3 linked regions of the Macaca mulatta genome follow. The protein of the gene in region 2 interacts with the protein of the main gene of each other region in a pairwise test. Links are inferred from orthologs where the notes say so. Each region holds a gene or a part of one and is shown on either strand. Other genes may lie near its edges. The genes, in order: TCEANC, TARBP2 and ZNF346.

The links.
Region 1: the proteins of TARBP2 (region 2) and TCEANC interact in binary tests that used the Homo sapiens proteins (3 or more experiments, as listed by UniProt). The two-hybrid records come from large-scale screens. The link is inferred for Macaca mulatta from reciprocal best matches to the Homo sapiens genes TARBP2 and TCEANC.
Region 3: the proteins of TARBP2 (region 2) and ZNF346 interact in binary tests that used the Homo sapiens proteins (3 or more experiments, as listed by UniProt). The two-hybrid records come from large-scale screens. The link is inferred for Macaca mulatta from reciprocal best matches to the Homo sapiens genes TARBP2 and ZNF346.

What each region holds. Positions count from the first base shown.
Region 1 is NC_133426.1:13,298,671-13,304,450, reverse strand, and holds the start of TCEANC (transcription elongation factor A N-terminal and central domain-containing protein), read right to left. Parts: upstream 3,387-5,780; 5' UTR 3,267-3,386; exon of another isoform or gene 2,977-3,266; intron 1,557-2,976; exon of another isoform or gene 1,381-1,556; intron 1,181-1,380; 5' UTR 1,119-1,180; coding exon 1,096-1,118; intron 1-1,095.
Region 2 is NC_133416.1:60,654,045-60,659,653, forward strand, and holds the start of TARBP2 (RISC-loading complex subunit TARBP2), read left to right. Parts: upstream 1-1,850; 5' UTR 1,851-3,802; coding exon 3,803-3,855; intron 3,856-3,966; exon of another isoform or gene 3,967-4,102; intron 4,103-4,407; coding exon 4,408-4,577; intron 4,578-5,401; coding exon 5,402-5,504; intron 5,505-5,609. UniProt on the Homo sapiens protein: Required for formation of the RNA induced silencing complex (RISC). Component of the RISC loading complex (RLC), also known as the micro-RNA (miRNA) loading complex (miRLC), which is composed of DICER1, AGO2 and TARBP2.
Region 3 is NC_133411.1:185,970,249-185,976,180, reverse strand, and holds the start of ZNF346 (zinc finger protein 346), read right to left. Parts: upstream 3,253-5,932; 5' UTR 3,210-3,252; coding exon 3,035-3,209; intron 1-3,034.

The sequences.
Region 1 (5,780 bases), on a different chromosome or scaffold from region 2:
CCTCTGTGGGACCATCATGTGGATATAAAGGATTTATTGCCCTAGGAGGGTATAACGTGGAAGCCATTGAGATATAAAATTCTGACAATTGCTATAAAAAGACAAAGTAAGGCATATGTCCAGCTTAGTTCTACATAGTTCATTCAATAAATATATATTAGGGATAGAGTATGTGCTAGATGCTGAGCCTAAACAGTCTCTGCCTTGAAGGAGCTGATAGCCTAGTGGAAGTAATACTGACAAGAAACTGGCCAGTTACAACACATGTGGTATTTCAACGTGGACAGACACTGGCTGCTAGAGAAAACACACACAGGGTGGTACCAAACCCTATCTGGGCTCTCCATCATCTGGACAGCTACAATTTGCTTCTTCACTGCCTTCACTCTACTTCTACACTCTACTCACAAAGTGAGTCTGGCACTTTGTTAGAGGGATCATCCTCTAGTACAGATCTCAGCAAGATATTCCCTCATTTTCCTGCTTAAAGCCCTTCAGAGGTTTCCCCTTGCTTTCATGATGGAGCCAAAGCTTCTTGGCCAGTGGCAAAAAGAGCCGTAGCAGGCCTCCCTCTTGACTACTCTCAACCACTGATGGGCACAGCTCTGTGCCTTTGCTCAAGCAGCATCCTGAGCCTGGCTGATCTCCCACCATTAGTGGTTCTTAACCCTGATTGCACATTAGAATCATCTGGGGGAAATTAAACAACAAAAAACAAAAACAAACAATGGCAGGGCCTCACTCCAGATAGGATGAATTAGGATCTCTGAGGGTAGGGCCTGCACACTGGCTCAGCTCTCCAGGGTGACTCTGATTTAAACCACACACAGGCATACAACCCTCCTCCACACCCCAGCAGGACCTCCCAGTTAGGCTGCCATCAGCCCCAAAGACAGCTCTGGTTCTGCTCCTGGACTGAATGCAGACAACTCTGACTTTGGCTTTTTCTAGATGAGTCTCATTCAGTCAGAAAAGATTTGAAACACCTACTGTGAACAATGCAGCTGACAACCTTCTCCACAAATTACACATGACAACTGTAATATTTTAAATGTCATAATGTACACAATCCCTGATACTCACCCCCTCACTTACCTCTTCACAGTGGAAGGCAACATATATTTATTGAGCAACTCTCTGGGACATACACTCTCCTGTCATCTCAATCCTCACAATATTCCTGAAATACAGATAATGGCTTATTTTCATCTTACAGGTGAGGAAACCTGCTAAAAACAGTAAATAATTTGCATGTTTTTTTTTCAGGGTGTTCATCACATTTAAAAAACGTTTTTACTGCCTTCCCCACAAGACCATAAGAGAAGATCCACATGTTTTATTCACCTATACACACCTAGCAAACACCCAGCCAGTGCTTACTATTACTTAACACATTTTTGTTGTTGTTAAATGAGTGATGAGCATACAGGATGCTCTCTCTCTTCTCTGCTTGTGAGCTTCATTTCTTTTCACTACACACCAGCTTGCTTGTACTCATTGCACCTAAGCCCAGTGCTCCTCGGCTTCTTCCGCAGGAGACCAAGTCCATCTCGATTCTAGTTCAAAAAAATAATTCAAAAAATTCTAGTTCAAATATATCTTGTTAAAAAAACAAAACAAAACAACCACCACCACCAGAACCATGGTGCCCACTGTGGGCTAATCAAAAGGGGTTGGGGGGTCAAAACATTTGCATAAAGAAGGTCAAGCAGGTCCAGTTCCTAGAAATGAGGGGTGCTGAGCAAGTTGGATAAGTTTCCTGACCATTCTGTGCCTCAATTTCCTCATCTACAAAATGGGAGAAATCCAACATCCTAGGATTAATGAGAATTAAATGAAAGTCTTGATAAAGTGCTTTGAACTATGGCTGTCACACAGTAAGTGTGAATAACAGGATGTGAGTCTACAATTAAAAGGCTTAAAAATATCTACCAAACCAGGCATTGTTCTAGAGCAGGGGGTCAGCACACTTTTTCTGTTAAAGATCAGAAGGTACATATTTTAGGCTTTGTAGGCCATACAATCTCTATGGACTACTCAACTCTGTTGCTCTTGTAGCAGCAACAGCAGATACAGAAAATAACATAAATGGATAGGCATGATCTTGTTCTGGTAACACTTGTTTACAAAAACAGGCAGGCTAGATTTGGCTGCAGGTCATAGTTTGTTGACCCTTTTCTAGAGCAGGGCTGTGCAACATAAATATAACATGTAAACCACAAATATGATTTAAAATTTTCCAGTAGTCATGTTAAAAAATAAAAATTGAAATTATACATTTTATTTAACCCAGTATATCCAGAATAGTCATCTCAACACGTGATTAATATAAACAAATTGAGATAGTTTACATTCTTTTTCATGCTAATTTTCCAAACTTCACTGTCTTACACTTATAGCACATCTCAATTCGGACAAGCCACATTTCAAGTGCTCAAGCCTTATGTAACTAATGGCTATCATTATTGGACACCACGGTTCTAGAACTGATGCTAATATGGATAATGCTTAGATGCATACCTATACCAAAAAGTTTATACAGTGCCAGGAAAAGTAGGCACGAAATATGGTATTGGATCCATATAAAAACTTACAAAGATTAGCTAATATTATAGTAAGCAAGGTGCACACATCTGCACAAAAATGGCCTAAACCCTGAGAAGAACGAGAGGAAAGTTCTGGAAACAATGTTTCCAGAAGTTGGTAAAAAGTCAATAATAACCTAGATCTGTTCAGATCTTTAGATCTCTTTAAAGCCTAAAGAGAAAGTGTAACTTTCTAGCCCTAACCCACTTACAGCTCCCCAGCTTCACAGAGAGCCCCGCCCTCTATGGAGAGAAATGATGCCAAATGTTGGCAGTGGTGTAGCGGTTACTTAACTGCCACTCAGTACTGCGCTAGGGCCCTTTCCCTTAATGGTGACCCCTAGTAAAGGTGCAGCGAGAGGAAGAGACCAGCCCAACAGCCCGGTCTAACCCGGGTTCGAGTTCCGGTGGGTGGGGTCGAGCAACATGCAAAGCCTGCCGCTAATCATCTTGGGATGACGGCCCAGCACCCAGCACACAAGCAGCTGCAGTCCCGAGGGTTCAGCCCACTCTGGCGACCTCGGCAGTCGGAGAGGAAGGGGCGGGGGTGAGAGCACCTTTGGACCTACGCCGCCCAGGGCGCACCGGAAAGCCGCCGCGAGCCGGGGTGGGCTTCCGCTGGGAACAAGGGCTCGCCTTTCTGCGGGACACAGGCCCTGGCAAACCTGAAGCATGACTCACTGAAAAGCGCAGGCGCAGTTCCGGAGCTTTCAGCCGCCCAGCGTCCACGGAGAACTTCCGGTCACCGGGACAGGGACAACTTCAAGGCTTAGCCAATCCAAGCCCACAGGCTGGCGCACGTGGGCCTGGGACCCGGCGCATGCGCACTAGGGAAATGGCGCATGCGTAGAGCGAACGGCGGCGGCCGTGGGACTGGGCTCGCGCGGCTTCCTGGAGGAGGAGCTATGGCCCCGCCCCTGGCCCGATAGAAAGAAACTGCACTTTCGTTTTTTAGCAGCAAAGGTTGTTGACGTACTTTACAACTTACCTGTTCTGCTTCTACTCAGGACAGTCAAGACAGTGTTCAGCTAGATGTTCACATAACCGTAGACATAAATGTGAATCTATTTAACGCAGTAATTAATTCAAAAAGTGTTTTTAACATCCTAGCATGCAACAGTTGATATGAAAGTAGTAAATGTTAATTGAGTGGTCATGTGCATCCTGGACTTCTCATCTGTGCACATTCTCATTCTTTGCCTGCAAAGGGCCAGTAAAAGCACAGTGATGGTTGAACGAATGTGACAGCCTCCTATGCTGATGCCTTACTCCAAAGTAATTTGGGGAAAGGTTCAGGGAAGCAGATTATCCAATCCAATACTCTGGACTGGGTGCTGGCAGAAAGGAGGGCGATTGTATGATTAAGTATCATAATAAATCTTACCTAAAAGGAGGGGAGACAAGACCAGTGACTCATTAACTTACCTAAAAGGAGGGGAGACAAGACCAGTAACTCATTAACTGGGATAGGGGATGTTTGGTCATTTTTGTGGTTTGGACAATGTTTATGTTTTTTCAGCATTCCCACGTGATTACAAAGGAGTCTTGTTTTTGTCTTGATCCATCCGGTCAAAGAGTGGTCACGTCTGATGGTGTTCTGTGAAGTATTTATGTTCCACGGAGCACCAAGGCCCAGCTGTGACTGCCGGGTCAGCTCAGAGCTGTCAGGGGTTACTTTTATCTTGCTGTCTATTACAGGGCTAAAATGTTTGCCATTGTAAATTGTAATGCAATTTTCACTTAAGAATTATATAATACCTTGTTGAAGAAAAAATTATTTGGCTGGGCGTGGTGGCTCACGCCTGTAACCCCAGCACTTTGGGAGGCTGAGGCAGGCGGATCACAAGGTCAGGAGCTCAAGACCATCCTGGCTAACACGGTGAAACCCCGTCTCTACTAAAAATACAAAAAATTAGCCGGGCGTGGTGGCACGTGCCTGTAATCCCAGCTACTTGGGAGGCTGAGGCAGAGAATCGCTTGAACCCAGGAGGCGGAGGTTGCAGTGAGCTGAGATCGTGCCCTGCACTCCAGCCTAGCGACAGAGCAAGACTTTGTCTAAAAAAAAAAAAAAGAAAAGAAAAGAAAATTATTTAATGACACTTGTCACTTGTTAAAGCATGGTAAGGAAGACTTTATTCAGGACCATTGAGGTAGACATAGGGACCACTGCAACAGGGTCTTGCAGTGGGGAAGAGAGATTGGGCTCAACTTCAAATGTGGCATGGAAAAGTGAGAATTTATAGCCAAGGAGCAAGGAAGGGAGGTCAGTGAATGGACCTCCCTGACCTTTGCTGTAGAAATTTCTGGCCCAGTTCATCTGGAATGAATCTAGGGCTGCCAATGGATTCTAAAGAGGTTGCTGAAAAGTTGGTTCTTTTGGGCAATTTAAAAATGGAATACTTATAAAAGTACTCACATCTGTGATAATTTATCATGCATAGTTTTCAGGCCTTTGTTTTAAAATCATCTTTCAGCTGCTTCAATACTCTGGAATTCTCTTTGATAAATTTCCCTTAGTGCAGCGGAAACCTCTTTTCAATCCTTATTAAGTCTCTGAGTAGCAATATATTAACAGATATTCTGAGCTCATGCAGACAGCCCTTTCCTGCGAATTCCCAAGGAAGAGAGGCAAAATCCTTTATGGGCCTTCTCCAGAGGCTAATGTTACACATTGCTGAGGGAACAGTTACAGATGTTTTCCATGGAATGAGGTCAGAGAAACTGCCTCTTTCTGGGTTCTGAGGTGCCGGCCGGTGTTCATTTCCTGATAAAACACCAGGACCAGACACTGGGCTTAACTGGGGATGTTCTTATAAGTCACAGTATGGAAGGCATAGGATTAAAACAATGAACAGTTCCCTTGAAATCTCAGGAGTTACAGAATATTAGGAAATAGAACAAAAAGTCATACATTATAGAAACAGAAACCTTATGTTTAAGTTCTGCAACATATTTCTCAGACTTATGCAGGTGAAATGACAGAGAAGCAGCAAACATGGTATCTCCAGTGAACATCCCCAGAGGCTCCCAGAAGAGCTAGTTCCATGGGTCAGGCAGTGCCTGGCTGGTGGGCCACAGACTGCTTAAACCAACCTAGTACCACTTTTGTTCTTTGGAGGTGCCCACTTTGGAGATCTTTTGGAGGACCCTCCCTTTGCTGGTAGCCTCTTCTTACCCATTCCATGGTTCAGATGC
Region 2 (5,609 bases):
ATTACAACAGTCTGGGCCGTGAGTGGCAGAACCAAGGGTCCTCTTCCTAGAAAAGCCTGATCCTACCATATTGTCACCACCAGGGGAAGAGCAATTGGTTTTTTTTTTTTTTTTTTTTTTTTTTTTTGAGACGGAGTCTCGCTCTGTCACCCAGGCTGGAGTGCAGTGGCCGGATCTCAGCTCACTGCAAGCTCCGCCTCCCGGGTTCACGCCATTCTCCTGCCTCAGCCTCCCGAGTAGCTGGGACTACAGGCGCCTGCCACCTCGCCCGGCTAAGTTTTTGTATTTTTAGTAGAGACGGGGTTTCACTGTGTTAGCCAGGATGGTCTCGATCTCCTGACCTTGTGATCCGCCCGTCTCAGCCTCCCAAAGTGCTGGGATTACAGGCTTGAGCCACCGCGCCCGGCGCAATTGGTTTTTAGAAGGGTTCTGCCCTCTTCAGCTATAAGAAAGCCTAGGAAATCCTGAGCCACATCTAACTTCTTGCCTCCTCTGTCTGTAACTGGGATGGGTATTTAGCTGGTGGTCTACATGTTGAGAGCTGGGGTTTTCCCAACATTACCCCAGTTGACAATGGGAGTGAGTGGATGAATGGTATGCTTGAGGGGACACACATGTTTTTTTCACCCGTGTGAGATAGGAGGGAGTGGGGCCCTAAAGCTCAGAGAAACTTCAGTGTCTGGACAGGAAGGCTCAGGGGGCACTTGAGTCCTTTCCTTCCTAAATCCTTTCTGTTAGCCTTGGCTTGGTATGACCCTCTGGCTGAAACTCAGAGCTCCTAGAGCAATGGAGTCCACCTTGAGAACTGCAAGGGAAATGTGTTTAGAGGGATGCACTGACTGTGGCTTGAGACGACTCTGGGTGGGGTAAGGAGACCTCATGTGCACTCCCTCCTGATTGGAGGCCACTCACCTATGCTCCTCTGAAAAAGGCAGCAGATGAGCATCTACAAGGTAGGACTCCTCCCTTAATTCTAAGGGACACCTCACTGTTTCCTCCCACTGTCTACAGAGCCTTGACTCTTCCCTCCTCTCAGTCAAGGCCTTGGTTACCAGCAAGTCTCAACTCTTGCTTATTTTTAAGCCAATGAGTTTGAGGAGTGTTTGTGGGAAAGGGAGGAGGTTTTTGGAGGGTTTGACTGGGGGAGACGGGTTAGGGGAGCCAGAGGAGATGGAGAGAAAGAGGAGGGAGAAACCCACACGTGAATGGGGGAGGGGAGGATGCAACAGCTGGATGGAGGTGAATGCCACAGCTGGAGGGGATTAGGAGGATCACAGCTGGAAGGGGAGGGGACCAACGCCTGGGCATCTAGGAACAGGTGCTCTCTGACTAATCTTCAGGTCCAGCCTGCTAAGTGTGTGTGTGTGTGTGTGTGTGTGTGTCTGTGTGTGTGTGGAGGGAGATGTGGGTACATCAGTCCTTGCCCTTCCTTTCCTTCCCTGGAGGGGGCCAAAACTCTCCCTCCTCCTTCCCTCTCTCCCTTCCTGAGGATGAGTGGGAGGAGATGTTCTCTTGCCCTCTGTCCTTTAAGTCTGTCCCCCAATCACCCTCCACCCCACCCCAATACGGTCCTTTCCAGCTCTGGAGGCCCTTCGTCTCCAAGCTGGGCCGCGGCATCTCTCCGCTCCATTCCCTTCCTTCCCAGCCCCACACGCGTCGGGTCCAGGTCCCCAGTTCCTCCATCCCCACAGCTTCAGCATCCCCACACCACCACCCGCACCAGGCCACATCTGCATCCCGACCCTCCCTCCACGCCCGGATCCCAGGACCCGGACCCATCCCTGCCCCCCACCCCCCCACAACTCGGCCAGGCTCTCACCTCGGGGGCTCCGCGGCCGCAGCACAAAAGGCGGCGCTGCTGCAGCTCCGCTCCGGATGCTGCTCCCGCCTCCTCCTCCTTCTCCTCCTCCTTCCCTCCTCCCCCCGCTGCCCTCCACCGGACCCGGGGCGCTGTCACAGGCGATGCTCGTGCGGTGTCCGGATGCACGGGTGTCAGCTTCAGCTTGCTGCCCCCACCCCCCGACCCCTAGCCCCGTCCCTGCTCGGCTTGAACTCCCGCTCCTTCCAGGGCCCCCGCCCCTGGCCCCCCGGGACGGACACGCCCTGAGCGGGGGATGCTGCGATGGAGCCGCCGGCCTCTTAAAGGAGCCCGCTGCTGCCATCCGGCGCGCTCCACTCTCGTCCCTGGCCCGCCTGGGCCCCGCGCTTCCCTGCTGGCGGTGTCCTATGGAGGTCCCACCTCAGGCCTTAGGCTGATTCCACAGGAACCCCCTATGACTCGTCTTATAGACTCCTTTCTACATCGGAGAGAGCAGCCCCTCAGTTGGGATCCCTAGCGCTCTGGCATTGCTCCCCCTATCATACTGATCTTGCCAGCTCTCCTTCCCTTGATTGTCACCGCTCACTCTAATTTCACCCACTTGGAATTCACTCGACTCTAGGCCCCATCCTCCTCCAGTGTTCCTGGATGACCCCTCATTATCATTTAAAGATTCCTCTGGACCTCCAGCCCCGCCTCAGAGTAAGACATCTCTTTCTTGACCCCTTCTCAGAACACTCATTAGAACCTTTATTTATTTATTTATTTTTAAAAAATGTGATATCTCCCTTTCTCCAAGGTCACAAGATTTCCCTTAGCCCAGTGGTTGTGCGACTTTGGGGGAGGAGGCAATGGGGCTCTAGGACTAAAAAATTTGCGTCTGCTCAACACCCAGATCAGTTGATTAGTCTTAGGCGGCCAAAATTCACTCTTGCTTTCTTCAGCTGAGAGACCCAAGACTCATGGCAGAGGGAACGAGACCACCAGGTGCCTAGTCCTTCTAATCCTGTCGCCCCACACCACAGCCTGATTATCAGGCCCCAGAGATTTCCTTGCCAGTTAGAGAGGTTCACTAGAGCCGTTCTAAAAAGGTTTTACAAAAGAAGCAAAACCTGAAGGAGGTGAAGGACAACCTAGGAAGAGGAAGCAAGTTCTGTGTCACGGAGGCCCAAGGGCCAGGGGCTTAGGCTGTGGGTTGAGGGGACTGTCTGAGACTGACTTGGATCTGCACCAGCTCCAGAGCCCTGCGTAGACAGACATCGGTCCCCTCCGGCGTCTAGGTAAAGCCCACCCTCTCAGACCTCAAAGAGCCCGGATCCGACAGCAACCTCTCCGGACCAATCACAACCTTCCTTCACCAAGGAGGCGGGGTCAGGGGGCTGACTTTTCCTTGTCCCCGCCCCTTTGGTCGAAGTAACCAATTCCAATGTGCCTAGAGGAAGTAAACGCAATGGGAGTAACCAATGACAACATGAAGCTTCTCGTGCGTGCTTGACCCTGCCCCTCCAGCTGCGGCAAAGATGGCGCGCGGGCTCCTGGGTTCTGTAGTTTTCTCGGGATCCAAAAGGCTCCGTGCCCAAGTGAGTCCTTACCGCCCCGCTACCCAGCGGCTTCCCCTCCGCTAGTACGCATGTCCACAGCCTCACGGCCCGGGAGAGAGGGGGCGCGGAAGGAAGGAGGCGGGACGGTATTACAAACAAAAAAATACAGCCTTCTCGAGAAGCGACTGCGGAGAGCCCGCTCCTCCCAGAAGGCGGTGCAGCCGGCCCGGGCGAGCCACGCGGAGGGTTGTGGGGCGGATAGCTCCCCTCCAGATGGAGGCTCATGAAGTAGGGTGGGCGGGGGACTCCATATCCCAGCGTGCCCCTCGGCGGGCCCTACCGGCCGCGACTCCGGGCTTGGCCCCGGCCCTAGCTCGTCGGCGGTGTATTGGGGCGCGTGGAGGCTGCAGTCACGGTGGCGCCCGCGGGGACGGAGGAGGGAATGAGTGAAGAGGAGCAAGGCTCCGGCATTACCACGGGCTGCGGGCTGCCTAGGTGAGCCGCCTCGTACCGATTCCTTCTGGGCAAAAAGCGTGGGGCCGTGCGGAGGGAGTAGCGGCGCGGCCCCAGCATGCACCTGGCCTGAGGGTTGTTCCCGGCAAGCACTGGGGCAGTGGGCAGTGGTTCCCGGCGTGCACCGGGGCAGTGGCTGCTGCCTTCAGCTCTAAATAGTTTGGGGTTGGCCCGGTTCCCAGACTGCACTGGAACACTGGGCTTTATGCCCCCACATTCAGTGCATTTGGTGGGTACTGGGTTCCTGGCTTGCACTGTGTCAGGGGGTATGCACTTTCAACCTGCATGGGGCACAGGATCGTGCCCACCTTAACTGAGGCAGGAGCAGTGCATTCTTCCCCCCTTGCTTTGAGGTAGTGGGCCCTACTCTTCCAGCCTGCACCTACACTTGGAACCCAGCCAATGGATGCTAGACTGCCTGGGGTTCCTTGGACCCTATGTCCCCCATAATGTGCCTAGGTCTGGTATGGAAGTGCTTGGCCAGGTGGGTGCAGAGAGGGGAGGTGTGATATGGGTCTGTGCCCCTTCCCCCAGTATAGAGCAAATGCTGGCCGCCAACCCAGGCAAGACCCCGATCAGCCTTCTGCAGGAGTATGGGACCAGAATAGGGAAGACGCCTGTGTACGACCTTCTCAAAGCCGAGGGCCAAGCCCACCAGCCTAATTTCACCTTCCGGGTCACCGTTGGCGACACCAGCTGCACTGGTGAGGAAGGCTTGGGCAGCCTGGCTGGGGTGTGCATTTGCAGGTCCCCATGACTTTGTTTCTTGGAGTCTCTTTCTTCACAGTCCTTTTCTTCAAGGCCAGTGAGGGAAGGAGAGATTTCAGGGGAAAAGCTACTGACTGGATTGGGAGAACAGGGCTGTGAGAAGGTGGGTAGGACGTGGGAGAGTTAGAGGATCGATCAGGACTGCCACATCACCCTAGAGGAAAAGGAAGAGAAGATAACTGAAATCCCAGTGGAGTATTTGGGGGAGTGAGTGCCTGGCATGCTGGGCTCTGTTCCCGGTGCTTAACCAAATTCCCATTTAATTTTAAACCTCAGTCTAACCAGTGATGTAGGTGGCAGTATCCCCCCCCACTCCTCCCCCCGCCCGCCCATGTTGAATATGAGGAAACTGAGTATTTGAGATAGTAAATGGCTGGTGCATGGTCACATGCCTAGTGTGTGGCGGAGTGGGGCTTTTACTCCAGAGCCTACCCTCTCTTATTCCAGCTCTCTGTTTTTATTGAGGGAAAAGAAAGTGCTTTGCAAAGGAAATTAAAGCATTTGAGTTCAGAAGTCCACCCAAGGCGTTTGAGCTCAGAAGTCCTGCTTGGCATGGCTTAATTCTGGTCTGGAAGCTAATGGAAAGATAAGGGCTCTTCCTTCTAGCAATTAGTGAAACACTTCCAGTCTTCAGCAGGGGGTGGTTGGTCAGAAGGGGCTTGATGGATTCCCACTGGCTCTGAGGAGAGAGGCTGTGGGATGCTGGTTTCTCTCCCATCCTTCCAGTGACCTCCAGTATTGCCCATGCCCCCTCTCTCAGGTCAGGGCCCCAGCAAGAAGGCAGCCAAGCACAAGGCAGCTGAGGTGGCCCTCAAACACCTCAAAGGGGGGAGCATGCTGGAGCCGGCCTTGGAGGACAGCAGGTGAGGGAGGAACCGAGGCATCCCAGAAGCCCTTCAAGGAACCCAGGCCCTGCACCACCCCCTCTGCCACCAGGCCTGGCCAGGTGACACTTAGCCACCCTGACC
Region 3 (5,932 bases), on a different chromosome or scaffold from region 2:
GTAACGGTGAGACTGCGTCTCAAAAAAAAAAAAAAAATTAAGAAGATCTATAAGAGAAAATTTCTCAAATCTTGGGTTAAGATAAAGAGTTATTAGATATGACACTACAAGCACAATACATAGGATAAAAAACTGATAAATTTAATTTCATCAAAACTTAAAACTTTTGTGCTTCAAAAGGCACTGTTTAGAAAATGAAAACACAAGTCAGTCGGGGGGAATCTTTGGAAACCGTATCTATAATAAAAGACTTGTACCCAGAACACACAGACAACTCTTACAACTCAGTAGAAGACAAACAGCCCAATTACAAAATAGGCAAATGATATCAATAGATATTTCACCAAAGATCTACAAATGGGTAGTTAGCCCATGAAAAGGTGCTCAGTATTATCAGTCTTTAGGAAACCACAATGAGATATCACTACATGCCCACTAGAATGCCTATAATCAAAAAAGACAAGTGTTGTCAAGGTTATAGAAAAAGCAAAACCCTCATACATTGAAGGCAGAAATATAAAAGGTGAAGCCATTTTGGAAAAGTTTGGCAGTTCTTCAAAATGTTAGAGTTACGATATGACCCAGCAATTCCATTCTTAGGGATATACTCAAGAAATGAAACGTATGTTCACACAAAAACTTGGGCATGAATGTTCGCAGCAGCACTATTCACAAAAACTCCAAACTGGAAACAATCCAAATGTCTAGAAATAATGAACAGATTAATAGAATGTGTTATATTCATTCAATGGAATTCTATTTAGCAATAAAAATGAAGTACTAATACACACCATGACTTGGCTGACCTTCAAAAACATGCCGAGAGAAGCCAAACTCAAAAGACTACCCAAGACAGAAAACAGATCACTGGTTGCCTAGGGCAGGAGGTGGGAGTGGGGATTTAATATAAGTAAGCTCAAAGGAACTAATTGGGGTGATGGAAATGTTCTAAAACTGGACTGTGGTAATGGCTATACAACTGTACATTGGCTAACAATCATTGGCGATATGCTTACAATGGGCGACTTGTATGGTATATAAACTGTAACTCAATGAAGGTGCTAAGAGAAGAAAAAGAGTGAGTAGAACTTAATGTTGCAGGTGTCTACTTAGATTTCATATAAATGTGCGAGAAGTGAGGAGAACAGGGAAATGAAATGGGTCGTAACAGTGCCACTGTACACTCACATACACATAGCAGACAGTTCACTTTTTAGAGCACAGTGGTTTTCTGCTTCAAGATCTAGGGCAAAGGTCACCTTTTGTGCACCTCCAACTCTTAAAACATTCCTCAGCACTGCATCCTTTACATTACACTGGAACTGTTTTAGTGTCTGCTTCCTGGACTAGACTGCAAGCCTTTCCAGGGAAAGGACAATATCTTTCTCTGATACTCCAGCTCTGAAGCTCAACCAATTCTGGGTCGAGAGCAGACATCTGTGAATGTTTGTCAAATTAATGAAAGGAAAATTGGGGTAGAGCAAGGAAACTACCAAACAAGTTTGAAAGTAGGAGAGCCGGGTGTGGTGGCTCATGCCTGTGATCCCAGCACTTTGGGAGGTCAAGGAAGGCAGATCACTTGAGGTCAGGAGTTCGAGAACAGCCTGGCCAACATGGTCAAACCCCATCTCTACTAAAAATACAAAAATCAGCTGAGCATGATGGTGGTCACCTGTAATCCCAGCTACTCCGGGGGCTGGGGCAGCATAGAACTGCTTGAACCTGGGAGGCAGAGGTTGCGGTGGGATTGTGCCACTGCACTCCAACCTGGGTGACAGAGGGAGACTCTCTCAAAAAAAAAAAAAGGAAAAAGAAAAAGGAGAGAGGGTCCCAGAAATGGTATGTGTGTATATATTTATATATACACATATATGTAAATATACACACACATATACACATACACACACATACCATTTCTGGGGCCCTGCCTTTCTTTTTAATATATATATATATAAACTTAGGAGACAGGCTAGACTTGTTTTTAAATTGGAGAATTATATACCAGGGTATAGGTCTGTGTATCACCCCTAATTTAAACATATGTTCCTTAGATATGGTCCAAATTTCAATTTTATCCAGGGCAGTCAGTTGACAAATAGCATATTAAACTTTCCATGACAAGTCTGCTCAGCAAGCAAACAAATCACTGGAGAAATCTGATTTCCCTCCAGATACCTGACAGGGTTAGCAGAGAAGCCCAGATAGAGTTCTTGGACACTTGGGTTAGCATTAAGCAGCTGGCTCTGTAAAGGACGGTGAAGGGAGTCACACAAGAAGGTCAGAACAGCTCTTTCCCATCCTTCTCTTTCTTTCATCCCATCTTACCCAGTCTCAGGTCAAGTGCGCAGCAAGCTGGCACACTTCGGCCCAGAAGTGACCCCTGACGTGGCTTTGCTTATACTGTTCTCAGCAACTTTGGGTCAAGTGTAGAACACAAAGAAGCTGGAGTCAAAGCGAACCCAGACCAGTTTCTCAGTCTCCTTGTCCCCACCTTAGAATAAGGAACCCAGCAAGTAGAAGCCAGAGAGCTAAAAACGGGTAAGCCACGGCTCAGTCACCAAGACCAGGAGGAACCCGGGGGTAAGGAGAAGGCCTTCCAGAGCCCTCGGAAGTGTGAGGCCTGACAGAAGGGAGGCAAGAGGCTCTACGAGGAAATCTGGAGATTGGGACGATGAGGAGTCAAGGAGTGGCGAGGGGCACTCGGCCTGAATTACGGGGATGGCAAAGACTGTGGGTCTCCGACAAGCATAGGGATGACGATCTTCGAATTCGGGAAAAACTGCGCTGTAGTGACTGATGAAGGAGGAGGGGAAAAGCTCTGGGCCTGAGCGTGAGCGGCCGTGATCACCCTCAGCGCGCTGGGGGCCCGATTCTTGGGGTGCCCGCGCCTGAATGGGGAGCACAAGTCTGGGGGTCCCGGAGCGCAGCACGCAAGGAGGCGGGCCAGGGGGGTGTGACCGCAGGCGCTTCCGCAGCTCCCCGCGAGCCGCGCAGGCGGGTGAGGGGCTTCCTGCCTCCAAAGCCCCCGACTCACCTTCCTCCCTACCCACCGGCTGGGCACCGGACACGGCTTCCCACAGGCGGCGCGCCCTCTCGCGGTCAAAGCGCACCCCATCCGGCTCCTGGCCCTCTAGCTCCTCCGAGCTGTTGTAACGCCCGGCCCCTCCGCCGTCTGCGGCCTCCACTGTGGCCGGCGCGGGATACGCCATCTTCCCCGCAAACCCTCGCCGGTGGAGAGCCGCTCAGGCGCCTAAATATCGCGAGATTGGGGGAGTGGTACTTGGTCCGGCCAACAAATCTCGCGAGGTTTGGGCGCTGCCGTGCGGTACCTGGCGCTTATTTTGCTTTGCTACCTCTGGTACCCCCAGCGTGTGGTGTGGATTCGGAAACCTGTCGCTGATTCCGCAGCAGTGACACCCCCTCCCGGAGAGGCTAGTACGGTTTTGGCTCAGGACTCTCACCTTCCTCACGGTCAGCCCTTGATACTTTTCATTTCGTTCTCAAGGTTCCGTTATGTGGGAGTGTTTTCGCCATTTCATTTACAGGGAAACTGAGGCCCAGAACCTAGAAATGGTTAACTCAACAGTTCGCTGCTAGTAAGTAGTAGTACAGCTGAGGTTCCGTATTACTAATAATAGATTCTACTTGTTGAGTTCCAAGTGCCGGCTCCCAGCTCTGATTTTCCCTGAGACTCCGGACCTGTACACATCCAGTTGCCTCTTCCACAGTTCACTCGAATGGCTAATAGGCTTCTCCAATGTAGCTGTCAGACCCCAAATTTTATTTTCCAACCCCAGAGCTGCTCCTTCCCGTGTCTTTGGGAGCCATCATCTCTTGCCTAGGTTATTGTAGTAGCCACCTCATTGGTATTCACAGCACAGCAGTCCCAGGGATCCTCTTATGACAAGTCAGATCATGACACTTAGGTTCTCAAATCCTCCAACAGCTTCCCATCTCACTGTTAGTAAAAGCCAAAGTCCTTACTTTGACCAACAAGGCCCTGTACAATCTGACTTCACTTAACCTCCCTGATCCTGATGTATCACTCAGTCTCCAACTCCTTAATTCCTGTCCCGGTTACACAGGCCTCCTGGGGTGCATTTCTCCCATATATCTTCATGGCTCAGTCTCCCACTTCCTTCTCTGGCTACTGTATCTAAAATACCTTCTCTGGCTATCATCTAAAATGTTACTTTTCCACACATACTTCATGTCCTCCTTTCCTGCTTTATTTCATATATATTTTACTTTTTATCTTGTTTATTGTCTGTCTACCTACTAGAAGGCAAGCCCCAGGAAGGCAGGGATTTTTGTCTATTTTCTTTTCTTTTTCTTTTTTTTTTTTGAGACGGAGTTTTGCTCTGTCGCCACGTTGGAGTGCAGTGATGCGATCTCGGCTCACTGCAACTTCCGCCTCCCGGGTTCAAGCAATTCTCCTGCTTCAGCCTCCCGTGTAGCTGGGATTACAGGTACATGCCACTGCATCCAGCTAATTTTTGTATTTTTGGTAAAGACAGGGTTTCACTATGTTAGCTAGGCTGATCTCGAACTCCTGACCTCGTAATCGTCCCACCTCAGCCTCCCGAAGTGCTGGGATTACAGGCACATGTCACCGCGCCCAGCCTTTTGTCTCTTTTCATTGTACCTGAATCTCCAGCACTTTGAAATAGAACCTGGACCCTCCTAGGTACATACAAAATATTTGTTTAATGAATGAAGTTTTTAATATTACTAGCTTATTTCAACCTTATTTGTTCAAATACGGAGAATTTACTATGAGCTAGATGATATTTTGAGCATGGAAATATAGTAGTGAACAAGACAGGGAAACTCTAGTATTTTTTATTGTAGTGGAGGAGACTACAATAAAAAAGTTAACAGTAGGCCGGGCGCGGTGGCTCACGCCTGTAATCCCAGCACTTTGGGAGGCCAAGGCAGGCGGATCATGAGGTCAGGAGATCGAGACCATCCTGGCTAACACGGTGAAACCTTATCCTTACTAAAAATACAGAAAAATTAGCCAGGCGTGGTGGCAGGCGCCTGTAGTCCCAGCTACTCGGGAGGCTGAGGGAGGAAAATGGCATGAACCCGCGAGGCGGAGCTTGCAGTGAGCCGAGATCGCACCACTGCACTCCATCCTGGGCAACAGAGTGAGACTCTGTCTCAAAAAAAGAAAAAAAAAAAAAGGTTAACAGTAATAAGTGCTAAGGAGAAGATAAAACAGGAATATATCTCAGGTGAATGATGTGTTAGGAACATTAGTCAGGGTGGTGTCAGGGGAAGCCTCTGGGAAAATGACATTTGAGCTAAGACCTGATTAATGAGAAGGGGTAGCCATGCAAAAAGCTGGGCAAGAGTGTTCTAGCAGAGAGAACAGCAGGTAAAAAGGCCCTGAGGCAGGAGAGAGCTTGATGTGTTGGAGGAACAGGAAAAAGGAAAGCATGGCTGGAGCCCAGTGAACAAGGGGGAAAGTAGTATCAGACGAGGCCAAAGAGAGACAGATATGAATTATTTTTGCTTGAGATCATATAGCTCATTGGTGTAATTTAGTCATTTATACTACAAGTATTTCCTTATTCATTCTACAAATACTGAGCACCAGCTCTATATCAGGCCTCAGGTCTCAGAGCTTCCAATTTTCCAATACAGTACGTGACTGATGTTTGGCCAATGCTTTACAACTTTTTTGTTTTGTTTTGTTTTATAGATAGAGTCTCTGTTGCCCAGGCTGGAGTGCAGTGGCACGATCACAGTTCACTGCAACCTCCACCTCCTGGGTTCAAGCGATTCTCCTGCCTCAGCCTCCTGAGTAGCTGGGATTACAGGCATCCATCACCATACCCGGCTATTTTTTGTATTTTTAGTAGAGACGGGGTTTCACCTTGTTGGCCAGGCTGGTTGTGAACTCCTGGCCTCAGGTGATCCGCCTGCG